7 linked regions of the Callithrix jacchus genome follow. The protein of the gene in region 6 purifies or fractionates together with the protein of the main gene of each other region. This does not show direct contact. Links are inferred from orthologs where the notes say so. Each region holds a gene or a part of one and is shown on either strand. Other genes may lie near its edges. The genes, in order: ZNHIT2, AAR2, EAPP, PRPF6, ECD, TSSC4 and DDX23.

Region 1 (3,223 bases), about 7.3 Mb from region 6:
CTACTTCTACCTCCTTTACTTCACCGCGCTGCTGGTGCACCGTGAGGCCCGGGATGAGCGGCAGTGCCTGCAGAAGTACGGCCTGGCCTGGCAGGAATACTGCCGGCGTGTGCCTTACCGCATCATGCCCTACATCTACTGAAGCGGCTCCACCACCCCAGGTCGGGGCATGTGCCCACTCATCCAGCACACCCAGGACCAGGAGACAGGGCACACTCAGGACTCAGGGGCTTGCACCCCACCCAGCCCTGAGGATGAACAGCCTCAGAGAAGAGGCAGTTTAGAGCGAGGAAAAAATGAAACAAGTGACCAAAATCAGAGATGGTCTTCCTCCTTTGGATAAACACTGGGAACCCTTGGTGCACTTCTCTGCCATTCTGGGGCTAGGGTATTTAGGACTGGCTGGGTCAGCACTGATCAGGGAGAAACTGAGCAATGAATGGCTGGTGGGCCCAGTGGGTCAACAGCTGTCCCTCGGAAACAGGCACTGTCAACAGGGCTGACCAGTCACAGCTTTATTATTGACAAGGGTCCTCAGTTCAGCCAGGAAGCTCCTCGATGAGAGTCCTTGGGGCAGGTGGCACGGAGCCGCCCCAAAGTCGCTCCAGCTCCCCAGTGAGGGCAGCCACCTCCTGCGCTGCCACAGCATGGGCTCGATGAACCCTGGCGCAGCCTAGAGCCAGCGGTGTGAGGGCAGCCTCATTTTCGTTGGTCCAGGCCAGGAGGAACTGGCACTTCTTCCGGGCCCGGTAAAGGTGATCTCGCTCTTCTCTAGCCACAGCCTGTTTCCGGGCACGGCCCAGGGTCTGTGCCAGGTGTCCCAGTGCTGCCAGCGTGTAGCCTTTCTGGTTGGCCAGGCCCTCGCCCAGCAGGATGCGAGCAACTTCGTGCATAGCCCCTCGAGTGCCCAGAGGCCCAGGCGGGTGCTCGCCAGCTTCCAGCACGTGGGCTGCGGCCTGCAGGGCTTCTTCCGCAGAAGTGAAGACTTGCTGGGCACCCAGTGCTCCGGAAACGCCGAGCAGTGTGGCACAGAAGTCAGAGAGCAGTGCGTCGTCACCACCGTGATACAGGGCAAGAGTGTGCGCGTAGGCGAACAGCACGTTGGGCAGCTGGAATCGCACAAGCGGCGAGACTGGGCCGCGGCTCAAGCTGACGAGCGCGGGGATGCGGGTGGGCACGGCGGGCATAAAGGTCCCTGGAGCATGTCCAAGAACCCGCCCGGCGGCCACAGGCTCCGCGGCGGAGGCAACTTTCACGGATTCCTGCGGGGTCCTCGCAGGGGCGGGCTCCAACCCCGCGGCATCACTGCCCGGGGCATCATCCAGCTCCTCTAGGAGCGACGTTACGGATTCGCGGTTCCACCACCAGGGCCGCCATGGAGGCAGCAGCCGCCCGGCCTCACCGCGGCTCAGCAGCCGCTCGAAGGCTGCTTTTTCGGCCGGTGCCAGCCGCTCCCAGAGTCCCGAGAGGCCGCCGAGCGCCGCGCCGGGGCTGAGGCCTGCTTCCCCAGGCTCGTCCTCGGTTTCGCGTTGCTGACGCAGCCGGCGTAGGGCGCTCGCTAGGCGGCTGGGCGAGGCGCTGCGGCCGCGGAGCTCTCCCAGCACCTGGTCACGGTAGAAGTTTTCTGCGCAGGTGCCATGCGCCCGATAGCAGCGCAGCGAGCAGTACGGCGCATTACAGCGAGGGCAGGTGTAACGCGCGGGTTGGCCCTCCCCCGCCGGGCAGAAGTCACAGGGCCCGGCCGGCTCCATGGAAACTGGCGCCACGACCTACCTGCGAATGCAAGTCGGCGTTAGTTCGAAACTTCCGAGACTTCTCTGATTACTTCCGGTCCACCGCGGGGCCGACGGCGCGCGTTGGTCTCGCAAAGCTCCCAAGGATTCTCGGCAATTTCCGCCCACGCCCGGAAGCCGAACCCCACCCCTTTCCCAAGCAGGGCGGGGGCGGGCCCAGAAAACGGGAGTCAGGTACGAGCCCCGCCCTGTACGATGACGCAAGGAGCGGAAAAATGGGTCTGACCAGCGGTCCGCCCGTGCCACGTCGCCCCCTAGTGGTTACACCAAAACGTAGTCCGATAGTCTAAACAGAAAACCCTCTTTTTAGCACTATAATGCGCTGTGGCAGAAATCCGTATTTGCGAAGCATCTACCGTGGGCCACTAATTGTGTCAAGCCTACGGGAGGTGATGCAACCCTGCGCTGGAGAAGCAGCCATTCCACTAGGGGACACAGATAAAAGGGCAGTTGGAGCCGGGCGCTCATGCCTGTAATCCCAGCACTTTGGGAGGCCAAGGCAGGCATATCACCAGAGGTCAGGAGTTTGAGACCAGCCCGACTAACATGAAGAAACCCCGTCTTTACTAAAAGTACAAATATTAGCTGGGCGTGGGGACGGGTGCCTGTAGTCTCAGCTACTCAGGAGGCTGAGGTTGCAGTGAGCCAAGATCGTGGCACCGCACTCCAGCCTGGGAGCCTGGGCCAGTGAGAGAAACTCCTCAAAAAAAAAAAAAAAAAGGCATTTGGGTCCGCCTAGCCTACATAGCCTCGGTGTGTTTCCCCTGTTCCGCAGAAAACAGTATTTAAGAAATATCCGGCCGGGCTTGGTGGCTCACGCCTGTAATCCCAGCACTTTGGGAGGCCGAGGAGGGTGGATCACGAGGTCAAGAGATCGAGACCATCCTGGTCAACATGATGAAACCCCGTCTCTACTAAAAATACAAAAAATTAGCTGAGCACGGTGGTGTGGGCCTGTAATCCCAGTTACTCAGGAGGCTGAGGCAGGAGAATTGCCTGAACCCAGAAGGCGGAGGTTGCGGTGAGCCGAGATGGCGCCATTGCACTCCAGCCTGGGTAAGGAGAGCGAAACTCCGTCTCAAAAAAAAAAAAAAAAAAAAATCTGAGCTCCTATTTTCCTCCAAACCCACCTTTTCATTAAATACTACTATTCATCCATCTTTATTAAGTGCAGGCCCCATTGTAGGTGCCAAGAACACAACACAGATAAAAGGGAGTGGGGCGCGGGGGGGGAGGGGGGTCCCTGTCCTAATAGAGCTGTCTTGTGGCGGAATGGGGTTGTGACAAACCAAACTGTGAACGTATTCTTTGCATTCCCACTACTACTGGTGGTCTAAGCTTCCTGCCCTTCACCTGGATGACAATACATTGTTTTTCCTTTCTTGCCACCCTCCAGAAAAACCTGCCAGAGAAATCAGATCACATCCATC
Region 2 (4,176 bases), on a different chromosome or scaffold from region 6:
ACTGGGAGTTGGGGATGGGTGAAGAGGGAGCTGAGCTTCTTCATGCAGGAAATGAAACTTGACAGGACAGGCTGAGATTGATAAGCATGACTGTGACTGATGAAGGCTGTCTCTGGTTAATCCTGCAGCAGCTCATTGTGATTAACCATGACTGCAGGGCCCTGTCTAGTCTGCAACCCACTAAGAGATAAATTTTGACCGAGACAGATTGGCGTGTCCAGCTGTCACTGAGGAAATGTGACAGACAAGCTAAGGAGCAGCAGCACAGAGATAAGAACATACAGGCCTTGGTTTGCATTCTAGCTCTGCCATTTTCTGGCTGGGTAACATCATCTGTTTGAACCTCAGTTTTCTCTTCTGCAAACTGGGAATATACATACCTACTTACTAGGCCAGTGTAAGGATTAGAAATACCCAAGTGGCCTGCCCTAAAATCACATAAGCCAATTCTTTTTTTTTTTTTTTTTTTTTTTCCCAGACGGCATCTTGCTCTGTCACCAGGCTGGAGTGCAGTCATGCAATCTCGGCTCATTGCTATCTCTGCCTCCTGGGTTCAAGTGATTCTCCTGCCTCAGCCTCCCTGGTAGCTGGGATTACAGGCACACACCACCACACCCAGCTAATTTTTGTATTTTTAGTAGATACGGGGTTTCACCATGCTGGCCAGGCTGGTCTCAAACTCCTGACCTCATGATCACCTTGCCTTGGCATCCCGATGTCCCGGGATTACGGGCGTGAGCCACCGCATCTGGCTTCACCTAAGCCAATTCTTTGCAATAAATCACTTAACACAGATCTCCTACTGGCTCTGCGTCTTTGGTGGAGCCCTGATTAATAGTGCAGAGTTAAACTCGCAGTACCGTCATCGCTCAAGACAGGCAGGTTCTTTCCAGGCGTTGACAGCCTGACTGACATGTCGGACTTGGCCCGCAGAAAGGACACGGGGGGATCGTGGGCATAGGGACTGAGGGAGCGGCTGCTGGTTCTCTGGGCCGGTGGCTGGGTCTCTCTCTGAGGGCTGACTGTGACTGGAAGCTGAGACGCTGTGACCGGGATAGACACTGGCTGCCAGAGACTGTGACCGAGCGCCTGGCTGGCTGCTACCGGATAACCATGGCCCTGGCGGTGCTTTAGTGACCGTGACGGCTTGAGCCCAAAGGAAGATGTCTGGGGGCTGTGCTTCTGGATGGGGATATAAAACGCGTAGCTTAGTCCAAGTTGTTCACAATTAACGAGACACTAATAACAAAAGGCAACACTGGATCCGCCGGAACCTGCCGGCACGGGCCGTTCTTCCCGCGACCCAGGGCTCCGCCGGACCGCTCTCTTGGTTGCTCCAGTCCGGCGCCAAACCGGAGAACTTCCGGTGCGTTTCCGCGGTTTCGGAACGCGGGGCGAGGCGGTGAGTGTGGTCTCCTGGCCTCTGTTTCCTCTCCTGATTCTGTGTGTGTGTGTGTGGGGGTGTGTGTGTGCGTGTGTGGTGTGTGTGTGGGGTGTCTGTGTGGGGTGTGTGTGTGTGGGGGGGTGTGTGTGTGCGTGTGTGGTGTGTGTGTGGGGTGTCTGTGTGGGGGGGGTGTGTGTGTGGGTGTGTGTGTGGGGTGTGCGGGGGGTGTGTGGGTGTGTGTGGGGTGTGTGGTGTGTGTGTGGGGTGTGTGTGTGGTGTGTGTGTGTGTGTGGGGTGTGTGTGTGGGTGTGTGGGTGTGGGGGGGGTGTGTGGTGTGTGTGTGGGGTGTGTGTGTGGTGTGTGTGTGTGTGCAGGGTGTGTGTGTGTGTGGTGTGGGTGTGGGGTGTGTGTGGGGGGTGTGTGTGTGGTGTGTGTGTGTGCGGGGGTGTGTGTGTGTGGTGTGTGTGTGGGTGTGTGGTGTGTGTGTGGGTGTGGGGTGTGTGTGTGGGGGTGTGTGTGTGGGGGGGTGTGTGTGTGTGCGGGGTGTGTGTGTGTGTGGTGTGTGTGTGGGTGTGGGGTGTGTGTGTGTGTGCGGGGTGTGTGTGTGTGTGGTGTGTGTGTGGGTGTGGGGGGTGTGTGTGTGTGGGTGTGTGTGTGTGGGGGGTGTGTGTGGGGGGTGTGTGTGTGGGGGGGGTGTGTGTGCGGGGGGTGTGTGTGGGTGTGGGGTGTGTGTGGGGGGTGTGTGTGGGGGGTGTGTGTGGGTGTGTGTGTGTGTGTGTGTGTTTGTGTGTGTGGCGTGTGTGTGTGTGGCCGGGCCGCCCCTCTTCTCGGCTTGGAATCGCGGAGTGCCTTGAACTAGGCCCACCTCGTCAGGGGGGCCGTAGACCCTTCCTGCACTGAACCTGGCTCTGCCCTACTGTCCGCGTGACTTCCAGTGAGGTCTTTTCCCGAACTGAGCCTTTGTTTCTCGTTTACAAAATGGATATCATACTTGTATTAACTAAATATTTACTAAGCGTCTCATGTGTGCTAGGAATACAGCAGGACTCAGTCTTGTGACGGTGACAGGCCTCAATCAAACATGCAAAGCTCCAGTGGTGATAATTGAAACGAAGGGTACAAGGCACCCGAGAGTGTGTCACAGGAGACCTGATCTAACCCCGGGTCAAGGAACCTTTACTGAGGAGGTGAATAGTGAGCTGAGATCAGAATAAAGATTTGACAAAATGGAGAGGGAAGAGTTTTCTATCTGGAGAGAGAGAGCCTCCAATTTCAGGGTCCGAAAGGGGAACAGAGCTTGTTGGGGACCATGGTGTGAAACAAGCTAAAAGGGTTCCCAGAGGTCAGACCATACAGACTTCATGGGTCATAGGAAGAATTTTGGTTTTCCGAGAACGATATGGGAAACCACTCAGAGGCTGACATGGGTGGTGATGTGATTAGATTGGCATTTTGAAACGGATACTGCTGTTGAATGGAGAATGGATTGAGGAGCAGGCACTCTCTGAGTGAGGGACAATGGTAGCTTGGATTAGGGAGGTGGTGGAGAGACGGGGATGGATGTGATTTTAGGTGTTCCAGGACTGTGAGGAACTCACAGAGCCGCCAGTGACAGGGGTTGGTAGACCGCAGAGTTCTGTGCATATTTAATAAACCTTTTCCTAGCATCTCCTCTGTGCCAGGCCATGTACCAGCTGCTGGAGATATAGTGAATAGAATTACAGGCTGGTGGAATTAGAATGAAAGAAATGTCATTATCAAGGAGGAGCACACAGATGTCACAAGGGAAAATGGCTAATTGATGAGAAGTTACTCTAAATGGAATCTCTGTTCATTCAGCAAGTATTAAGTACTTTCTGAATTCAGAATTACAAATAGAAAGTGATACAAATTATTTAGAGCAGTGTCTTTCAAACTTTTATGACTGTGACCTACAGTAACACATACATTTTATGACACAACCAAGTGTACATACAAACACACAAAGCTCCAGAAAACAGTACTTAGCTTTACTACTTATGATGTATTGTGATGTTCAAAAGTTCTGTTCTTTTCATTTAAAAAGTAATGCCGGTTGAGACCTTTACATGGATTTCCTAATTCACTGATAGTTTGTGACTTGCAGTTTGGGGGAAAAAATGTTGATTCAGGGTAAGAGTCATTTGTAGTAGTTTTGGGGTAATGATAAAATGTACTTATTTTTGGAACAGGATTGGTTTTCCTTTCCACACTTTTTATTTATTTATTCATTTAAAGTAAAAAAAGTAAACAGGGCTGGGCATGGTGGCTCACACCCGTAATCTCAGCACTTTGGAGGCTGAGGCGGGTGGATCACTTGAGAACAAGCATTCGAGACCAGCCTGGGCAACATGGTGAAACCCTGTCTCTACTAAAAATACAAAAGTTAGCCAGGTGTGGTGGTGCACACCAGTAGTCTCAGCTACTCGGAGGCTGAGACATGAGAATTATTTGAACCTAGGAGGTGGAGCATGTAGTAAGCCAAGATTGTGCCATTACACTCCAGCCTGGGTGATGGAGCCAGACCCTGTCTCAAAAAAAAAAAAAGAGCAAATAAAATTAAATAGGTCAACAGGCAGCAGGTTTTCTGTGTGAAATTTTGGCATCTTGTTTGTACATCTGGCTAGATTGGTGCCTAGAGGGCAGGGACTGTCTTAATCTCTGATGTTTCTTTGGGGGCTTGGCAAAGTGCAGGTACTCAGTGAGTATTTGTTAGATTAATCAGGTAGGTATTTTAGGACTGGAAGATTAGATAATGGTTTGTTTACATTTGT
Region 3 (3,998 bases), on a different chromosome or scaffold from region 6:
TGTGTGTGTGTGTGTATCCTTTCACAGACAGGACCCATACCTGAGACTCTTTTTCACAGGGAATCCTGGTATACATCCTCACTCCTCACCAAAGAAATCTTAACAGCAGTCTGATTTCCTATGTATCCAATGTCTCCCACGACAATATGAGGAAACATTGTTCTTTTAATTTTTTTTTTTTTTTTTTTAAGAAGTAAGATCTCACTATGTTGCCCAGGCTGTTCCTTTACTACTAGGCTCAAGAGATTCTCCCACCTCAGCCTCCCAAAGTCCTGGGACTACAGGCATGGGACACCACACCTGGCCAAAGTTGTTAATGAAAGCATGGCTTCACAGAAAGCTTCTTTGAACAGAATGAATGTTTTAAGCTTTAAGACTAGGATCTGGCCAGGCACAGTGGCTCATTCCTACAATCCCAACACACTGGGAGGCTAAGGCAGGCAGATCACCTGAGGTCTAGAGTTCGACATCAGCCTGACCAACATGGAGAAACTCTGTCTTTACTAAAAATAAAAAATTAGGGGCCGGGCATGGTGGCTCACGCCTATAATCCCAGCACTTTGGGAGGCCGAGGCGGGTGGATCATGAGGTCAAGAGATCGAGACCATCCTGGTCAACATGGTGAAACCCCATCACTACTAGAAATACAAAAATTAGCCGGGCGCGGTGGCTCACTTCTGTAATCCCAGCACTTTGGGAGGCCGAGGCAGGTGGATCACGAGGTCGAGATCAGGACCATCCTGGTCAACGAGGTGAAGCCCCGTCTCTACTAAAAATACAAAAATTAGCTGGGCATGGTGGTGCGTGCCTGTAGTCCCAGCCACTGGGAAGGCTGAGGCAGGAGAATTGCTTGAACCCAGAAGGCGGAGGTTGCGGTAAGCCAAGATTGTGCCACTGCACTCCAGTCTGGGTAACAACAGCGAAACTCCGTCTCAAAAAATAAATAAATTAATAAATAAAATACAAAAATTAGCTGGGTATGGTGGTGCACGCCTGTAGTCCCAGCTACTCAGGAGGCTGAGGTAGGAGAATTGCTTGAACTTCGGAGGTGGAGGCTGCGGTGAGCCAAGATTGCGCCATTGCATTCCAGCCTGGGTAACAACAGCGAAACTCCATCTCAAAAAAAAAAATACAAAATTAGCTGGGCATGGTGGCACATGCCTGTAATACCAGCTACTCAGGAGGCTGAGGTAGGATCATCACTTGAACCCAGGAGGCAGATGTTTCGGTGAGCCCAGAACACACCACTGCACTCCAGCCTGGGCAACAAGAGTGAAACTTTGTCTCAAGAAAAAAATAGAATCTGCTGACAGCTTAAGAAATAACTAGGGCCAGGCGGTAGCTCAAGCCTATAATCCCAGTGCTTTGGGAGGCCAAGGTGGGCGGATCACGAGGTCAGGAGTTCAAGACCAGACTGACCAAAATGGAGACACCCCCATCTCTACTAAATACAGAAATTAGCCAGGTATGGTGGTGCACACCTGTAATCCTAGCTACTTAGGAGGCTGAGACAGGGAATCACTTGAACCCAGGAGGCGGAGGTTGCAGTGAGCTGAGATTGTGCTACTGCACTCCAGCTTGGGCAACAGAGCAGACTCCATTTCAAAAAAAGAGAAATAACTAGGCCAGGCACAGTGGTTCACACCTGTAATTCCAGCACTGTGGGAGGCCAAGGCAAGCAGATCAGGAGGTCTAGAGTTTAACACCCCCTGACCAACATGGTGAAAACCCATCTCTACTAAAAATACAAAAGTTAGCCAGGGGTGGTGGTGCATGCCTGTAATCCTAGCTACTCAGGAGGCTGAGGCAGGAGAATTGCTTGAACCCAGGAGGGGAAGGCTGTAGTGAGCCGTGATCTCGCCACTACACTCCAGCATGGGTGACAGAGTGAGACTTTCAAAAAAAAAGAAGAAGAAAGAAAAGAAATAACTAAATTGGTGTAGAAATCTCTTAGCAACATAGCTTCAAGTTTCCCTGTAGAATAAATCACACCCTTCTAGAAATCCCACGAACTTTCATCTGTGCCTGTCTCAGGTCAATATTTTCTACAATGCTCTTCAAGATACCTACTTTATCTTATTACCCTTATCATACTACTAAGGCTCTGGAAGACAAGGACCTTATGATTTACCTCTGTAGCTAGGAGCAAAATAAAGCAGTCCCCCATGTAGGAAAAAAAAAAGTCCTGTTCAATATTCCCTTATTTCTGTTTACGGCAGTTTAGTCAAGATGGGTACTTCACATTAATTCCTATGAGCCTCTCAATAAATTTACATGTGTTATACTATGTTATGTAGCTTGTACAACTATAGGTTATTATAGTTACATTTTACAGGTAAGTAACATAAGATAAGTGACCTGTCTTCAGTCACTCTGCTGCCAAGCAGTAGAGGCAGGTTTCAGTCTCATTGCTTTTGAAGATTTACACACGTCCGGAGATTCCGGTAACCTCTCTCTTTTACAGAAAAATCGGCCCCACCTCCCCGGTAGCTGCACGACCCCATCAGGAAAGCCCTTTGGCCTCGCACAAATGACAGTGATGTACGACAGGCTCCCGAGCCGCATCTGCATAGGCTTGGCAGGCGCAACGAGTGGAGGCGACCAAGCCAGGCCTCCGCCCGAAGCCTCGGGTGCCAGGATAAGGCAGGGCCCACCTGCTCAAAGCCGGCTCCTCGTCACTAGGCTCTTCAATCGCGTAGGGGTCGTAGTCATTCGGCAGCCGGCTCATGGTGGCCTGCAGCGTCCTACACCGTCCACTGCGATCTGCACCGTCTCTGTTTACTCTGCAAGTTCCGTCCCTAAAGCGTCCCGACGCTACTTCCGCCTGCACTTCCGAGTCCCCCTTGCGCGCCTGCGCAGACGACGGAAGCGACGGGTCAGGTAAAAGGTGGGGGAGAGGTGGGGCTCATGCCTGTGATACCAACACTTTGGGAGACCAACGTAGGAAAATCACTTGAGGCCAGGAGTTCAAGACAACCCTAGGCAACAAAATGACACTCTATGTCTACAAAAGTTTAAAACATTAGCTGGGCAGGGAGGCTGACGCAGGAGAATTGCTTGAGCCCAGTAGTTCAAAGGTGCAGTGAGCTGTGATTGCCATTGTATACTCTTGCCTGGACAACAGAGTAAGACCTTTTAAAGAAAAAATGTTAACACGACCCCGCCCTCCCATCACCCTGTCTTGCCCTCCCCCGTAAAAATAAAATAATAATAAAAACGTTAACACAAATATCTAAAAACCACTGAAAAATTAGTGGATCACATAACCCGAATTCAATTTTAATTTCTGAATTGGATATTATACACAAAATTCCCACCTCATCACTGATGCTAATAATTTTTATCAAATTATCTATACCCCTTTAACTTTGAATTCTGAGGTGCTTATACACACATTTTTTCATGTCAAATTGTGTCTTACAAACTATTTACTATGGATGGGCAGTGCTAAAATAGTCACTTTTGAAGACTTTAAATTTATTATCAAATGTGGTTGTTTTTTGTTTTAATTTTTTGTAGAAACAAGTATCTCACTATGTTGCAAACTCCTGGACTCCAGTGATCCTCCTGCCTCGTTCTCCCAAGGTGTTGGAATTATAGGTGAGAGCCACTATGCCCAGCCACATGTGTTTCTTAATAGATAATTACTTAAGTAACTGTCCACGCTGTATACACTGTCCAGCCATCAACCACTAAGTAGCTGTATTGGTTGTCACATTACGGATCACAAGAAGACTGAGGTTGGCTGCGGTGGCTTACCCCTGTAATCCCAGCACTTTAGGGGGCCAGAGTGAGAAGACTGTACGAGCCCAGGAGTTCGAGGCCAGCCTGGACAACAAAGCAGGATCCTATCTCTCTTTATTTTTTTACTTTTATAAATAAAAAAGAAGATGCTCGGGGAAAACGATGTCCTGTCAAGTTGCTTGGGGAGATCTTAGAGCTTCATGTTTAACCGGGGTGGGGGGCGGAGGGGAACCCCGTAATAGTTGTGTCCTGTG
Region 4 (4,093 bases), on a different chromosome or scaffold from region 6:
GGGTCCTCTGAGGTCCGGCCCCTCCGTGCGTAGGGATGGGCTGACGGGCATCTTGCGGGGCCTTCTACCCACAGCCAGGAGAAGGGGCAGATCAGCCCCTCCCACATACTGCCCTCGGCCTCCTGCCTCTTTACTCTCCCTGGAATGGGCACCCGCTTCCCGGGGAAACCAGCTTGACTCTTGCTTACCGCCCACCCCACTGTGAACATTAGGGTTACTCTTCCTTCCCTCTGCAGCCCCAGAACCTGGCTCAGTGCCCGGGGGGCGGTGCAGTCCTCTGTAACTGAAAGGGGCTTGGCTGGAGATGGGACAGAGAGGAACTCCAAGGAGGCTGTAGCAGGCTGGAGCGATGTGTTTGCTCCAGGACTCCAGTGAGAAATGCTGGGCTGGGCTGTGATTGGCTTGCTCTGCCCAGGAGCCTAGGTGCTCTCCCTGGGTGTATGCAGGGGATCTGGAGGATGTCTTACAGCAGAAGGAGCAGAAATGCGTGCACAGAGTAGAGTCATGCACGTGTACCCAAAACGAGCACACGTGACCTCAATGTGCACACACCCCACTAATTCACACACACAGAATTCACCCACATGCTTGACAGCCATGTTTATGTACTGACGTGTTCCTGACAGGTCCGCTGTGGTGATTTCGTCAGTTAGCTCTCCGGGAGCTGAGAATGCGGCCCTCACCAGAATGTCCAAGGCATATTGGGGGCCGTGGGTGGGGTCTCTAATCCCGCTGGAGGCACAGATGCCTGAATGGGAGCCCAAAAATGTGAATGCTAAAAGCACAATGTTGCGGGGGTGCCCCTACGTAAAAGCATAGGGCAGCAGCGTGCGCACAGGACGCCCACAGGCAGGTGTGCCCACAGACAGGTGTGCCCATAACCAGTACGCACAAGCTCTACACAACTGCACGGGGTGCGCTCCACTCGAAAGTGATCAGGGCCCGCCAAGGGCGAGGGCGGGAAGCTGGGCTGGTTCAGAGGGAGGGGGCCGAGGGCCCTACTGGCAGACAGGTCTCCTTGGGAATGCATCAGAGCACTGGGGAAGCAGCGATGCCCGAGGCTCAGCTTTTGGGGCCGTCCCCGGAGCCCGTTAGGGTCCCAGTGCAAGCTCGGCCTCGTTCCTCCTGCCCCGCCACGAGGAGGCGCTCCAGCTCACGCGCCTGCCATGTCCCCGCCCCCTAGCCGCGGCCGGAAGTCGTCAGGAGCGCGTCGGGGCTTCCGCCCGGGGAGTCAAAAGTGGGCGGGCTTTGTGCGGACCGAGCGCTCTGCTTCCGGGGCGCCAGTGACGCGCCAACCGCGACCTCCTCCTACCGAGCGCCTCGGACGTCGGAGCTCGGAGTGTCTGCGTCTTTCTCTCTTCCGCGGCTTCATTCCTTCCTAGCCTTGGTCATCGTCGCCGCCATGAACAAGAAGAAGAAGCCGTTCCTGGGGATGCCCGCGCCGCTCGGCTACGTGCCGGGGCTGGGCCGGGGGTGAGGCCTGGGGCAAGACGTGGGGCGGCGACCCGGCTGGCGGAGCGCAGTGCAGGTGTTTGGGGGCGGGGGTCTTTGGCTGCGCGGTCTGAAAGACACTCGGGGGATCGGCTTAATCCCTGCAGGAAGCCGCGGGCTTTGGGTCAGGACAGACGTGTGTATGCAGCCTGCCTGCTGCATGGTTGTGACGCCCTGGCTGTCAGCCCCAGTGTAAGATGATGCTGTGTGCAGCCTGCAGTGAGGAGTAGTGGAAACGCGGCCGCCTTCCCAGGTCAGGCTGACACCCCCCTCGCCGCGCCTTAAGCGTGCCTGGGTCGGATAAGTGAGCAGTCATTGCTATCCTATCTGATCATTCATTTGATGAGGAAAACTACTGGGTTTTTCTTGGTGGTGATATACTAGAATCTGTGGGGCACACACAAGACTCGGATATTGACTGCGCCTTCAGAGGACCCGAAGCTCATGGAGGGTTTGGTGTTACCATAAATCAGTACGTAAGGAGGATCAGATTTAGAACCCAGTGCTTAATGGAGGGTGTCGTTGGGGCCAAGTTTAGTAGGAGAGCTGGACTTAGGGCTGCCGAAATATGGTAGCGATAGAAGAGAAACTGCCATTGTGTGTGTGGAGAGTTAGAAAAAAGTGAGGCCGCCGGACACGGTGGCTCACGCCTGTAATCCCAGCACTTTGGGAGGCCGAGGCAGGTGGATCGTGAGATCAAGAGATCGAGACCATCCTGGTCAACATGGTGAAACCCCGTTTCTACTAAAAATACAAAAAATTAGCTGGGCATGGTGGCGCGTGCCTGTAATCCCAGCTACTCAGGAGGCTGAGGCAGGAGAATTGCCTGAACCCAGGAGGCGGAGGTTGCGGTGAGCCGAGATCGCGCCATTGCACTCCAGCCTGGGTAACAAGAGCGAAAACTCTGTCTCAAAAAAAAAAAAAAAAGAAAGGAAAAAAGTGAGGCCAGGAGGAAGCCCGGGGAACAGGGGAGTCCAGTGTGAATAGGATGTGCAGCCAGTAGAACAGAGCTTAGGAGGTTGGAGTGGCCTTGAGCCACAGGCTAGAGCTCCTGGAGACGTCGGAAAGACCGTGACCCTTCAGAAGTTTTCAATCAGAGCTGTGTTTTGGGAAGAATCATCTTGCAGAAGATGGGTTGAAGTAGAGGAAGGCTAGAGGCAGGGAGGGCTAACTTGGTTTCCAGCTGTGGTGGGAGTCATAGTCTGGGGAGGAGAGATTTTGGAGGTGGATTCATTAGTACTTAGTGGCAGACAGGATGGAGAGAGTGGGAAAGGGAGGCAAATATTGTGTCATGGACCCACACCCATGGCATGTGGGTCAGCACGCTGAAACACCCCTGAGCAAGCTGTAAGGTGGGCCCAGAAGAGGAGCTCAGTTTGGGCCAAGTTGGGTTTAAGGGCCTGGCTGGATGTGGAGGGGGAGATGATCAAAGCCTTTGGGTGGAGGGATTGCCTTGGAAACGTCATCAGGGTGAGTTGAAACCTTCGGGTAAGTAGAGATCGGTGGTATTTGAGACTGCAGTTCATTGTCACCAGGATCTTTGGAGATTTCCCAGAGGTGTTAGAAATAGAGGTGATATTAAGTGATGACCAGGGGTGGAGAAGAGCCTGGGAACAGGCGCATTCAGATACTGGGTGTCTTGGGGGTCTCCTGCAGTGCCACCGGCTTCACCACACGGTCAGACATTGGGCCCGCCCGTGATGCAAATGATCCTGTGGATGATCGTCATGCGCCCCCAGGAAAGAGAACCGTTGGGGACCAGATGAAGAAAAACCAGGCTGCTGATGATGATGATGAGGACCTAAATGACACCAATTACGACGAGGTGGGATGTGTTGGGCTTCTGTGGCTCCTCCAGCCAGTCTCTGGGAGCAGCTGACCAGCTCCCTAACCAGTGGAGTGGCTCATGCATTTAAAATTTCAGCTATTCACGGGACATCTTTAGCAGAGTGAGAGGGAGCAGGAAAAATACGGAGGAATGTGCACTTTTTATCTCTTCAGAGAGATGTTCTTGCAGATATGAGGACCACTGCCCTGGTATTTTGTATTGGTCAGTCTTTTATCATAAAAACCGAAAGTATTTGGTTTTTTTAGCGTTAGTGGTTGCCCTCTAAAAAGACATCTAAAGGAAAACCTCAGCTGACTGAATACCGATTAACTGTCTTCTAACAGATCACATTTTTCCTCTGAGGAAAATTTTTAAAAATAATTTTAGTTTTGAAATAATTTTAAATTTGCAGGAACTTGCAACAGTAGTGCCAAAAAAAAGTTGAAAAAAGTTGGCCAGGCATGGTGGCTCACATCTGTAATCCCAGCACTTTGGAAAGCCGAGGTGGGCGGATTACAGGATCAGGAGATCGTGACTATCCTGGCCAACATGGTGAAACCCTGTTTCTACTAAAAATACAAAAATTAGTTGGTCATGATGGCACGTGCCTGTAAGCCCAGCTACTTGGGAGGCTGAGGCAGGAGAATCGCTTGAACAAGGAAGTCAGAGGTTGCAGTGAACAGAGATCACACCATTGCACTCCATCCTAGCCACAGAGTGAGACTCCCTCTCAGAAGAAAAAAAAAAGGTTTCTGTGTATCTTTCACCAAGCTT
Region 5 (3,500 bases), on a different chromosome or scaffold from region 6:
CTCTCAAATATTTAATGAGCAGCTACTACATATGTCAAGCACTGAGCTAGGCAAAATTGTTGACGGGTAGTAGTTCATGGTTGAAAGCAATTCAAAACCAGGAAGAGAAAGCAAATATTTTGGCTTCTGAAATATCTAATAACCCAATGCTCTAGCAACAGCCATGCTACTTACAGTTTTAAAATGGAAGGGAACATCACACCATTACTTACCTAAAATCTTATCAAAATAATTAAGAAAAGAATCTGCATCAAAAGTGATTGGAGCCTCAGAAGGTTCTCTGCAATATTAAAGGACAAAGACAATTAATTTATTCTAAATATAACCGTTTGAAACTTTTCTAAAGTGGTACCATTCTTAAGAAAGCTACCAAAGATAGAATTTCTAAGGAGGCACAGCAAGAAAAATTGTAGTTGAAGTCTTAAAAATCCGTGAGCTTACTGGCCTTGCAGGACAACAGAAATGGGAAAGTCTGATAAATGAAAAGTAAAAACTGCATCTTGTTTATGTACATTTAACTTATGCTAATTTAGGGACCTACCCACTCTCTAGCCCCAGTAAGATATCTAGCATTAGTAAAAGCATTATTTATTTGAGTTAATTTAAATAAAGCCTATTTTTTTAAGAACTAAAGCTTAAAAAATAAACAAGAACATATCTTCCCTTATCCCTCCCTTATTAAAGACAGAATACCAAACATAAATTTAGATCTTTCACCAGCTTCAAGAGCACCAACACTAAAAATGATATATTTGATACATAAGTAACAATTCTATCTACCTGTTTTTCTTGTTACCTGCCAAATGTAATTTCACATTTCTGTTATTATTTCTGCCTCTGATGAATCCCTTTGAGTTTTCAGTATCCAATCTGCTTGTAGGGTGGGAGATCAGAAGTCTGAACTTGTCGAAAGCTAAATGTTGAGCCCATAAGGCTATTAAAGAGTAAAATACATGGTTTCCCTGTGTGGTTCTAGATGATGGTTTTTAGATCTGTTGGGTGATCTTTCTGGCTTATTTCAAGGATTGCAAAGGATGAGGCTTCTAGAAATCTGATTTCAGATAAGTAAGTTGTCACTATACTAGGTACAAAAAAGAAAGAAAGCAGTACAACTCATTTACTTAAAAAAAAAAAGTAGAAATGGCAATGGCCAATGATTTCAACATTTGGGTTCTAACTATTTATATATTTATACTTTTATGCAAATTACCTAGGCAGCTCTGCTCCCTTGTGGGTTGAGACTTTGGATATGAAAGATTTCATGCTCTCTGAGACTTGAGTTAAGTTATAGTTCTGCTCCTTCTCCTCCTTGGAAATAGACTCTGATTCTTTTCTGCCAGCAGCTTCCTGTAGCAACTGCTCCAGCTGATCTGCTGAGAGATCTAACCACTGGTCATCTGAAAAAGAAGAAAGCATAATATTGCCATTCTACATTCACATGATAAGTCCTTTCAGGAGAGGATCCTGTGAGACTTAGTAGAAGATTTTAATTTCTTTTTAACCCTTCCACTGTATCCCAGTCCATCACTTACCATCCTCTGGGGGAAGATTAGCTGATTCTTTCTTAAGGTCTTCTATATCAAATGGCATTGTCTGTAATAAGGTTAAGATTTCTTCACCTGGGCTCATAGCAAGAGAACTATAAAAAATGAAAACCATGAATATTTCTTCATAAAAGAACTTAGAATAGTAATCATAAATACATAGTCTTTTAAAGTTGGAACCTCTACGAAATTGTTTTTATACATATTATAATTACTTTATAGGGATTAACCAGTCTAATTTGGGGAGTTCTTGGTTTGTTTTTGCTCTTTTTTTTAAGAGATGGGGTTTCACTGTTGCCCAGACTGAACTCAAACTCCTGGGTTCAAGTGATCCCCCACTTCAACCTCCCAGGTAGCTGGCACTATAAGTACATGCCAAAATACCTGGCTCTAATTTGTTTTTAAGCATATTTTTAGGTTGCAGATCCCCTTTTCTCAAATAAAACTTTTTTTTAAATTTTATTTTTATTTATTTATTTTTTAAAATTTTCTTCTTGAATTATCAAGTAAAAAACCTTTTTTTTTTGGGGGGCAAATCACTTGAGGTCAGGAGTTCGAGATGAGCCTGCCCAACATGATGAAACCCCATCAAATAAAACTTTTACCAGTAACTCTAAAATACAGAAGGGCTCAAAGAAAAATGGCTTTGATTAAAGTGGAGGATAGGCCAGGCATGGTGGCTCATTCCTGTAATCCCAGCACTTTGGGAAGCCGAGGCAGGCAGATTACTTGTGGTCAGGAGTTCACTTGGCCAACATGGTGAAACCTTGTCTCTACTAAAAATACAAAAATTAGCTGGGCATGGGGGCATGTGCCTGTAATCCCCTACTCGGGAGGCTGAGGCAGGAGAATCGCTTGAACCTGGGAGGCAGAGGTTGCAGTGAGCCAGTACTGCACCACTGCACTCTAGCATGGGTGACAGAACAAGACTCTGTCTCAAAAAATAAATACATTAATTAAATTAAAGTGGAAGATAGAGGCAAAGAGATCTAGCCAATTTGCTTCCCCTTTGGCTCTGAAGCAGAGTAGGGTGGCTTACGCCTATAATCCCAACACTTTGGGGGACCACATTAGGTCAATTACTTGAGTTCGGGAGCTGGACAACCTAGTGAGACCCTGTCTCAACAAACAAACAAACAAACAAAATTAGCTAGGCATGGTAGCACATGTGTGTGGTCCAAGCTACTTAGAAGGGTGAGGCAGAAACCCATCAAATAAGGAAAAAGCAAATATGCAGAAATATAATAAACATATTGTTCAGTCAGTTTTACTTAGTACGACTTGAAAGGCCTTCTAAGTCCTTACAAAATAGATTTGATACACTGAAAAACACTGAGCTAAACAGCATTCCCAGAACATGCCATAATTTAATTAACCACTTCTCTACATATGAACATTTGTTTGAATTTGTTGATATAACAATGTTGCAGGCCAGGCATTGTGGCTCACCCCTGTAATCCCAACACTTTGGGAGGCTGAGGCAGGCAGATCATCTGAGGTCAGGAGTTCGAGACCAGTCCGGCCAATATGGTGAAACCCTGTCTCTACTAAAAATATAAAAATTAGCTGGGCATGGTAGTGGGTGCCTATAATCCCAGGTATACTTGGGAGGCTGAGGCAGGAGAATCGCTTGAACCCAGGAGCCAGAGGTTCCAGTGAGCTGAGATCGCACCATTACCTCCAGTCTGGGTGTCTAGAGACTCCATTAAAAAAAAAAAAAAAATATATATATATATATATATATATATTTATAAAATAAACATCTTTATGCATTTAAAAAAAATCCTCATTCTTTTAAGTCGTAATGCAAATACCTCCTCCCTGAACCTTTCCATTATCTTTCTTTTTTTAGCTTCTCTGCTTCTACCCTAGTGAAATTACCTTCTCACTATTGACTCTCTTTAGCATTTGATATTTCAGAATGATTTTTATCTTGCCTTTTGTTATGATTATTTG
Region 6 (4,300 bases):
CCAATGGGCTTGGTCTAGGCTCTCCTATCTTCCCTCACACCGTGGACCCTGGGGTGGTGCTTGCTGTCGCTCCGGCTGCTTTTCCCTAGTTGGGGAGATGAAGCTGCTGGCACATTGACCCCTGGAGGAAAGGAGTGACTGGGAATTTATGTCTAGGGCTCCCAGCAGCCTCTCTGCAAGCCAATTTGGAAACTGCCCCCGGCCCTGCATTTTGGGGGGTTACGGAGTCTCTCAGCAGGCCCTCTCCTGCTGCTCCCAAATTCCAAGGCTGCACTGCTTGGGAGCACAGGACGGTGCAAGGAGCCCCCTCTCCACTTCCCGCTGTGTCCTCCGTGGGCGGGGAATGACATCCCAAAGGCCGCAGCAGGTCCTTGAGTCCTGTTTCCCGGCGGATGCCAGGACAGCAGGCCCTGGGAAGGGAGTTGTCTCCAGCCTTGACACGGCCCAGCGGTGTAGCCGCCGAGGGGAACTCAGCTCCCCGCAGTGTGCGGGGCACAGGGCGCCAACCAACCAGGGCCCGTGGCCCAGGGACACGCGGCTTGTCGGGGGGAGAACCTGGGCCCTCGCTCTCCCTTTCAGGGCGGGCACCGTGGACAGGCGAGGCCAGGCTGCCGGCTCCCAGGCATGGCGGAGGCCACACCGCTCCGGCTGCCGCCCACCCAGCCACGCTTGAGGAGCGTTCAGCGGCCTCCACCCCGCCCGGGAGGACGGGGGACCGGGGACCTGGAAGGGCCTGGCCCTGGCTTCCCTGCAGCGCCCTCGGAGGCCGGACCAATGTGCCAGAGCTGAGGGCCCAGGGCTGCGCGGGCGGCCCGGCAGCGTCCCCAAGGGCGACGCCCCACAAGTTTGCCTCCAGGGCCCAGCCAACCCCTAGGGGTGGGAAAGCGTCGGCCCAGCCAGAGGATCCAGCAGGGCCGCCCCCTTCACCCGTGGCCCACAGGTCAAGACTCCGCGTCCTCATCTCGGGCTGGGACCGCCTTTGCGTCCGCCCTGAGCGGGACCGTGGGATCCTGGGGAGCCCCGCCTCAGTGCTCCGAAGCCCCGGAAGAGCTACAGCTGCCGCTTCCGGTCATGACCGGAAGTGTCCGAACGGCATTCGCCCTCCCTATGAAATGACGCACTTCCTGCCTGAGGCGGCCGCTGTTCTCACGGTTTCCAGCAGGTGGCGCTGGGACCACGGAAAGCCGGCGCGGCGGTCGGTTAGCCCTCGAGCATTCTGGGAATTGCAGGCGTGGCCCCTCCTTTTCCTGTTCTCCTTGGTCAGTTCCGGTCTTGTTTCGCCAACAAATGCCGCGGTTCCGGGGCTGTTTCCGAGCCGGACGCCAGGGCCGCGGTGTCCTGGAGTAGAGAGGCGGACGCATGCGCACAAGACTACACGTCCCGACAGGCGTCGGGAGCGGCGGCCCAGTGCCTTGTGGGAGGTGTAGTTTTGCGGGCGTGGAAGCCGCGGCGCTCGGCCGGATGAACACTCGGTTTCCCAGAGGGCTGAGCGCGTTGCATGGGCGGGCGGAGCCGACCAAGATGGAGACGGCCGTGCCGCCTTGAGCTGGTAGGTTTGTGTTGAGGAACGACGGGCCGCGTGAGCCGGGTGAGCCTCCGGGAGGTCACCGAGCGCAGCTGAAGCCCCGCTGTGCTCACCGACCCCCGTACCCCGCGGCCGAGCCCTTGGGACCCACAGCATCCTCGTGAGTGTCCAGCCCGACTTCGCACCGAGAGCCGACTTGGCACAGAGAGTTTGTTCCCTGGCGGGGAGGTCTTGCTGGCGCATAGAGAGGAGAAAGGCCAGGCCCTGCCTTCATGTGGGCAAAGGGACGGTTTCCTTCAGCCTCCGTCCCTGCCGGCTCTAAAACGGACATCAGTGGGGGGTTCCGGGTAGCCCCTTTCATTTACGGGGTGGCTTCTTCACGGAGGAGAGTCACGCCGCAGAGGAATTGAAGTGCTGCCTCTGTTTGACCTGGTGGGGGGCACTAGGAGCCCCTTCTGGTACCCCTGACCCCATCCTTGTTGGGAGCACGGGACACATGTCACCCTGGCGGGCAAGGAGTCAGTGGATGGATGAGGGCAGTGCAGAAGGGTGAGGCCGGGCCGTCCTCTCCACTGGCAATGCCAGCTCCGAGGCACCCAGTCACTCCACCACTAAATGGGTGCGGGAGGCCGCTTGGCTGCCCCGCTGGAAAGGCGGTGTGTGTGTTGAGTGTTACACGGGGAAGGCCACTAGAGGTCGCTCCAGGAGCTACGCGGCTTTGCCTCTGCCTGTGAGGGCTGCTCGAGGTGATTGATGGGCTGACACCCCACTTTGTGCGATGCCAGGGCCTTGGCTGCAGATGTCTTGGGAGCTCCCGGGGCTCTCCCAGCAGATAGGAGCAAACCTTTTCCCCGATGACCAGGAAGGTGCCTGCTCTTGCTCACCCCCCAACAGCAAGCAGCTTATAAGTAGCTCTCCTGCCTGATCTCGGCCCTGGGTTCCAGCCCTGGGCGGCTGCTTACTACCAGAATCGCTTCGTAGTTCCAAGCCTGCCTGCAGAGGGTTGACGCGATTAAATTAAGTCACGACTCAGAAGTCCCTACCCTGGGTTCTGGCCTGTCAGGGACTCCAAAACCCGGGCTCAGGTCGGTCCTGCCTCCCACCTCTTTCACACATTTGCGCTCCGGTCTGAGGATGGTCCTCTCCCCCACCCCTCCCACCTGCAGTCGAGCAGCTGAACAGACGCATGCCAGGGGCACTCCGAGGCCTGAGACAACCATACCTGTGCCACTGAGGACCTTCATCAAGGTTCCGCCCACCTGGCTGTGCAGCCACACTCCAGTGTCAGCAGCCAAGGGAGGTGAGAGGAGGGCTGGGAGGGGGAGAGGGGCCTCCACCCTGTGTGGGACAGGTCTGCCGGCTGACCCTCCTTGTCCAGGGGCGGTTGATCTGCAGGAGACTCATTCTTAACACTGTTCCTGAAACGAATCTCCTGGGCTGTTTTGGTCTAGGTGTGACGTGGTCCTGGGAACGCATGGCTGAGGCAGGGACAGAGGAGCCGTCCCCCAGCGTGGAGGGGGAGCATGAGACGGAGTATGACACGCTGCCTTCCGACACGGTCTCCCTCAGTGACTCGGACTCTGACCTCAGCTTGCCTGGCGATGCTGAAGTAGAAGCGCTGTCCCCAGGGGGGCTGCCTGGGGAGGAGGATTCAGGCCCCGATGAGCCGCCCTCACCCCCCTCAGGCCTCCTCCTCCCATCTGCGGTGCAGCCGTTCCATTTGAGAGGCATGAGCTCCACCTTCTCCCAGCGCAGCCGTGACATCTTTGACTTCCTGGAGGGGGCAGCCAGGCGGGCCCCACCCCCTGTGGCCCACAGCAGCAGAAGTGACAATGGAGGCTTCAAGCGGCCCCTGGCACCCTCAGGCCAGCCTCCAGTGGAAGGGCTGGGCAGGGCCCATTGGAGCCCAGCCTCCCCCAAGGCGCCTCCAGTCCCCGACTACGTGGCACACCCCGAGCGCTGGACCAAGTACAGCCTGGAAGATGTGACCGAGGTCAGCGAGCAGAGCAATCAGGCCACCGCCCTGGCCTTCCTGGGCTCCCAGAGCGTGGCTGCCCCTACTGACTGCGTGCCCTCCTTCAACCAGGACCCCTCCAGCTGTGGGGAAGGGAGGGTCGTCTTCACCAAACCAGCCCGAGGGGTTGAGGCCAGACACGAGAGGAAGAGGGTTCTGGGTAAAGTGGGAGAGCCAGGCAGGGGCAGCCTTGGGATCCGTGCCCCAGATAGGGGCGAGGGCCCAGTGGAGCTGGCCCATCTGGCCAGGCCCGGTAGCCCAGAGGCTGAGGAGTGGGGCAGCCCCCACGGGGGCCTGCAGGAGGTGGAGGCACCGACAGGGCCTGTCCACGGTGGGCCTATGCCAGGCCTCCCACTGGTGGAGACGGTTGGCTTCCACAGTAGCAGGAAGCGGAGTCGAGACCACTTCCGGAACAAGGGCAGCAGCTCCAAGGGCCCAGGCGCTGAGGTCTCAGAGGGAGACGGGGCCGCCTGACCACACTGGCCACTGCCGTCCTGCTGCCTTCCCAGGAGGTCTGGCCAAGGGGCAGCTAGAGTGGGAGGGAGCCTGCATGCTGCCTGTAGGTGGCACCGGTGGCCCTGGGTGTCATCCTCCCAACAGACCTGGCTGAGGCTCCTGGGGTGGGCTGGAAGCATTGGCTACCTGGTGGGGACAATAAAGGTTTTGGGACTTCCTCAGGCTTCGTGTATATCTGGGCCCTGCTCACCCCTGTCGGCTACGAGGGGTCCCGCTTGGCTGCTTCCAGCCTCACCGCCAGGCCA
Region 7 (3,500 bases), on a different chromosome or scaffold from region 6:
GGAGTGATGGAAATGGGGAGGGTGATAAGAAAAGAACGCAATGATCTCACTTCAACATCAGAGGCTGGGTCTGGGCAAAGTGGCTCAAGCCTGTAATCCCAGCACTTTGGGAGGCCAAAGTGGGCAGATCACTTGAGGTCAGGAGTTTGAGACCAGCCTGGCCAACATGGTGAAACCGTGTGTCTACTAAAAATACAAAAATTAGCTAGGCGTGGTGGTCAGCACCTGTAACACCAGCTACTTGGGAGGCTAGGCAGGAGAATCACTTGAAGCTGGAGATAGAGGCTACAGTGAGCCGAGATCCCACCACTACACTCTAGCCTGGGTGACAAAACGAGACTCCATCTCAAAAAATAAATAAATTAAATAAAATAAATTAAAAAATAAAAACCAGAGACTCCAGAATAGCAAAGTTCTCCAGGTCTTTGCCAGCAAAAAATAAAATAAAATAAATAAAAATCAGAGACTCCAGGATAGCAAAGTTCTCCAGGTCTTTGCCAGCAACATATAGTTCTATGATACCACAATCCAATTATTCCCTAATATTCAACCCAGAATAAAGAAGCAAGCTTCTGATTATAGGTGTAAAACAAAAACCAAACATTCATTTGCCACTTTCATCTTTCCTACCCAGAAAAACCCACTCCAGCTGGTGCCAGCTGACCTCACCTGTCAATTTTGGGAAGTGTGGTGATCCACACCAGCAGTGGGATGAGGAAGGCTGCTGTCTTGCCGCTGCCAGTCTCAGCCACACCAATGATGTCACGATTCTGTAGCCCAATGGGAATTGCCTGACGCTGGATAGGTGTTGGTTCCTGCAGTGACCCCAAGAAAGAGTAATAGGTACAGGCAGAATTATACAACCTGGGCTACCATTGATAGTAGAAAGCACATCTCCTAGCACAATGGAAGGATGCCAAGTACAGTCCACAGAAATGGGGACCCCAAGAAGAAACATAATCACTAAAAGCCAACACTTCTACTAGAAACTGATAGAAAAGGTTGATGCCCACTAGCAGCAATGGTCCCAAATAGTCAAGGAATAAAGTTCTGTATTCCCAAACTAGGAACATGTCAGATCTCTTGGGCCAATCTGCCCCTCCTTACCTTGTAGCCACACTTATCAATGACCTCCAAAATGTGTGGGGGAAGAGAAGAGTCTTTCCAAGATCGGATGGGATTGGGGATCTTGCCGCCTTTGGTGGTGATGCTGTAGTCCTCACGGAAGATCCGCCAGTCCCTGTCCGTCATCTCATCTAATTTTTTCTGAGACCAATGACGATCATCCCAGCGCTGCTTGGCTTCCTTCTTACGAAGTTTTCGGAGTCTTGCCCTGGAGCAGGATGTGAGGAGTAAGTAGGATCAGTGCCCTCCAACTCCTTTCTGTAGAGACTGGGCTCTGTCCAGCCACCCTAGCCTTGATCACTCACTCCTCCTGCTCCTTTTCTTCCAGGGTTCGTCTCTTCTCCATTAGGTCTCCATAGAAACGTGACTGCTCTCGTTTCTGCTGCTTGAGGTCAATGCCTGCAATGAAGCCTCGCCCCAGTAACTGCACCTGGTGCCGTTCTTTGTACCTGGGATTGAGACAAAGGAAGAAAAAAGAGAAGGAGCTGCTACGGCAGTAGGAGGGAAGGACAGATTGCCAATATGAAACAGTTCTTCCTGGACAGGGTCTTCTTTCCACCAGAGGGTTGGCTGACTACTAGTCTACCAATTTTCCACCCCAGCTTATCTTACTTACTCCAGTCATCAGCTCTCTAGGACTGCCCAGTGGAAAAGACCTAGAACTCAGGCCCGAAGCCACTCACAGGGGATTGTAGTCGATGGATGTGTCTTCAGATGCATCCCACTCAAAAACAAACTTTCGGTCATTGAGATGTCTCGTTCGGCGCCGCTTTTTGATGCCACCCAGGTAACGCTCCTGCCCAGGGAAAGAACACAAAGCACATAAGCCTCGAGGCTCAAGTCTCACATGCAGAGATCACAATGGCCAAATAACTAAACCTCATTTTTGTGTATGGGAGAGAAGTGAAGATGGAGCCAAGGCCTGCACCTTAATGGCATGCAGTTCCTTGCTCTTATCCTTCTCTTCCCGGATCTTCTGCCGCCCTTCCTCATCCTCATTTCCATTGGTCTCCCGCTCCATCCTCTCCCTGCGTTCCCGACGTTCCCGTTCCTGAGGATCTTCTGCAGACCAAAGAAAGCAAAGCTGCAGAAGAGCTCATGGAAGAAAAGAGGAGAGGGAATGGAGGGAATCCAGATGAGGAACACCAAATGAAGAAAAAAAGGGATAGACTTATGATACAGGGTAAACGGAGATCTAACAGAAAAATGTTTTCTCATCAACTCCCACCATCTTTCCCTTTTCCAAACTTCAGAGTGAACAGGTTTCTATCTCTCCTGAGAAACACTATCTCATCTCTTTCCTCTCCCATCTAGGGGCTACACAGAGTAGAATAACGAACCCAACATCTTCCTGCCCAAGTCTTGGAACTGTTTCCTTTTCTTCCTCTCTTCTTCAAGCATCTTCTGCCGCTCTTCCACCTCCTGCTGCCGTCGCTTTAGAGCTTCAGCCTCTCGTTCTGCTTTGGAGAGGAACTTGGGCTACAAAACAGATTGGAACTGTAAACAAAGGATCTGGGAGCAGAGTATAACCACATCACTGATGGGGAGATGGCAGGGAACCCAAAAATATTTGCTCAGGCATTAAGCCTGTTGAGGAAAATACAAATAGGCCTTGGATCCTGTTACGGACTGAAATATGTCCCCTATGGATTTCATGTGTTTTTTTAGACTGGAAGCAGTGGCACATGCCTATAATCCCAGTGCTTTGGGAGGACCAGATGGGAGGACTGCTTGAGGCAAGGAGTTCAAGACCAGCCTGGGCAACATAGCAAGACCTTATTTCTACAAAAATAAACAAACTCAGCAGATATGGTGGCATGTGCATGTAGTCCCAGCTACTCAGCAGGCTAAGGCTGGAAAATCATATGAGCCCAGGAGTTTGAGGTTATAGTGAGCTGTGACTGTACCACTGTACTCCAGCCTGGGCAAAACAACAAGACCTTATCTCTTTAAAAAAAAAAAATTCATGTGTTATATGTATTTTTTGAGACAGTCTCTTGCTCTGTTGCCCAAGTTGCAGTACAGTGGTGTCATCAAGGCTCACTGCAGCCTCAGCCTCCTGAGTAGCTGGGACTACACACGCATGATACCACAACCGGCTAATTTTTTATATTTTATAGAGATGGCTTTTCAGCATGTTACCCACGCTGGTCTCGAAATCCCTGACTCAAGTGATCCTCCCATCTTGGACTTCCAAAGTATTGGGATTACAGGTGTGAGCCACTGTACCCAGTTCAAAATTCATATGTGGAAGCTCTAACCCCCAGTACCTCACAATGTGACTGTATGTGGAGACAGGGCATGTAAAGAGGTGATTAAGTCAAAATGAGACCATTAAGCTGGGCACAATGGCTCACACCTGTAATCCCAGTACT

Evidence for each region.
Region 1: the proteins of TSSC4 (region 6) and ZNHIT2 purify together in Homo sapiens (affinity purification with mass spectrometry; 3 studies listed by BioGRID and IntAct, counting the BioPlex papers as one, with this or other methods). This does not show direct contact. The link is inferred for Callithrix jacchus from reciprocal best matches to the Homo sapiens genes TSSC4 and ZNHIT2.
Region 2: the proteins of TSSC4 (region 6) and AAR2 purify together in Homo sapiens (affinity purification with mass spectrometry; 3 studies listed by BioGRID and IntAct, counting the BioPlex papers as one, with this or other methods). This does not show direct contact. The link is inferred for Callithrix jacchus from reciprocal best matches to the Homo sapiens genes TSSC4 and AAR2.
Region 3: the proteins of TSSC4 (region 6) and EAPP purify together in Homo sapiens (affinity purification with mass spectrometry; 3 studies listed by BioGRID and IntAct, counting the BioPlex papers as one, with this or other methods). This does not show direct contact. The link is inferred for Callithrix jacchus from reciprocal best matches to the Homo sapiens genes TSSC4 and EAPP.
Region 4: the proteins of TSSC4 (region 6) and PRPF6 purify together in Homo sapiens (affinity purification with mass spectrometry; 3 studies listed by BioGRID and IntAct, counting the BioPlex papers as one, with this or other methods). This does not show direct contact. The link is inferred for Callithrix jacchus from reciprocal best matches to the Homo sapiens genes TSSC4 and PRPF6.
Region 5: the proteins of TSSC4 (region 6) and ECD purify together in Homo sapiens (affinity purification with mass spectrometry; 3 studies listed by BioGRID and IntAct, counting the BioPlex papers as one, with this or other methods). This does not show direct contact. The link is inferred for Callithrix jacchus from reciprocal best matches to the Homo sapiens genes TSSC4 and ECD.
Region 7: the proteins of TSSC4 (region 6) and DDX23 purify together in Homo sapiens (affinity purification with mass spectrometry; 3 studies listed by BioGRID and IntAct, with this or other methods). This does not show direct contact. The link is inferred for Callithrix jacchus from reciprocal best matches to the Homo sapiens genes TSSC4 and DDX23.

The regions. Positions count from the first base shown.
Region 1 is NC_133511.1:122,197,078-122,200,300, forward strand, and holds ZNHIT2 (zinc finger HIT domain-containing protein 2), read right to left. Parts: upstream 1,886-3,223; 5' UTR 1,752-1,885; coding exon 540-1,751; 3' UTR 501-539; downstream 1-500. Other genes in the region: delta(14)-sterol reductase TM7SF2, read left to right, coding at 1-142. UniProt on the Homo sapiens protein: May act as a bridging factor mediating the interaction between the R2TP/Prefoldin-like (R2TP/PFDL) complex and U5 small nuclear ribonucleoprotein (U5 snRNP).
Region 2 is NC_133506.1:3,058,581-3,062,756, reverse strand, and holds the start of AAR2 (protein AAR2 homolog), read left to right. Parts: upstream 1-1,376; 5' UTR 1,377-1,402; intron 1,403-4,176. UniProt on the Homo sapiens protein: Component of the U5 snRNP complex that is required for spliceosome assembly and for pre-mRNA splicing.
Region 3 is NC_133509.1:69,044,596-69,048,593, forward strand, and holds the start of EAPP (E2F-associated phosphoprotein), read right to left. Parts: upstream 2,801-3,998; 5' UTR 2,729-2,800; coding exon 2,655-2,728; intron 1-2,654. UniProt on the Homo sapiens protein: May play an important role in the fine-tuning of both major E2F1 activities, the regulation of the cell-cycle and the induction of apoptosis. Promotes S-phase entry, and inhibits p14(ARP) expression.
Region 4 is NC_133506.1:59,454,445-59,458,537, forward strand, and holds the start of PRPF6 (pre-mRNA-processing factor 6), read left to right. Parts: upstream 1-1,293; 5' UTR 1,294-1,402; coding exon 1,403-1,473; exon of another isoform or gene 1,474-1,528; intron 1,529-3,147; coding exon 3,148-3,316; intron 3,317-4,093. UniProt on the Homo sapiens protein: Involved in pre-mRNA splicing as component of the U4/U6-U5 tri-snRNP complex, one of the building blocks of the spliceosome.
Region 5 is NC_133513.1:56,997,084-57,000,583, reverse strand, and holds part of ECD (protein ecdysoneless homolog), read right to left. Parts: intron 1,640-3,500; coding exon 1,533-1,639; intron 1,398-1,532; coding exon 1,211-1,397; intron 281-1,210; coding exon 213-280; intron 1-212. UniProt on the Homo sapiens protein: Regulator of p53/TP53 stability and function. Inhibits MDM2-mediated degradation of p53/TP53 possibly by cooperating in part with TXNIP. May be involved transcriptional regulation. In vitro has intrinsic transactivation activity enhanced by EP300.
Region 6 is NC_133511.1:129,467,956-129,472,255, reverse strand, and holds TSSC4 (U5 small nuclear ribonucleoprotein TSSC4), read left to right. Parts: upstream 1-1,500; 5' UTR 1,501-1,685; exon of another isoform or gene 1,686-2,691; 5' UTR 2,692-2,825; exon of another isoform or gene 2,826-2,976; 5' UTR 2,977-2,999; coding exon 3,000-4,013; 3' UTR 4,014-4,212; downstream 4,213-4,300. UniProt on the Homo sapiens protein: Protein associated with the U5 snRNP, during its maturation and its post-splicing recycling and which is required for spliceosomal tri-snRNP complex assembly in the nucleus.
Region 7 is NC_133510.1:70,732,011-70,735,510, reverse strand, and holds part of DDX23 (putative ATP-dependent RNA helicase DDX23), read right to left. Parts: intron 2,605-3,500; coding exon 2,466-2,604; intron 2,188-2,465; coding exon 2,054-2,187; intron 1,922-2,053; coding exon 1,809-1,921; intron 1,575-1,808; coding exon 1,431-1,574; intron 1,334-1,430; coding exon 1,108-1,333; intron 816-1,107; coding exon 670-815; intron 1-669. UniProt on the Homo sapiens protein: Involved in pre-mRNA splicing and its phosphorylated form (by SRPK2) is required for spliceosomal B complex formation.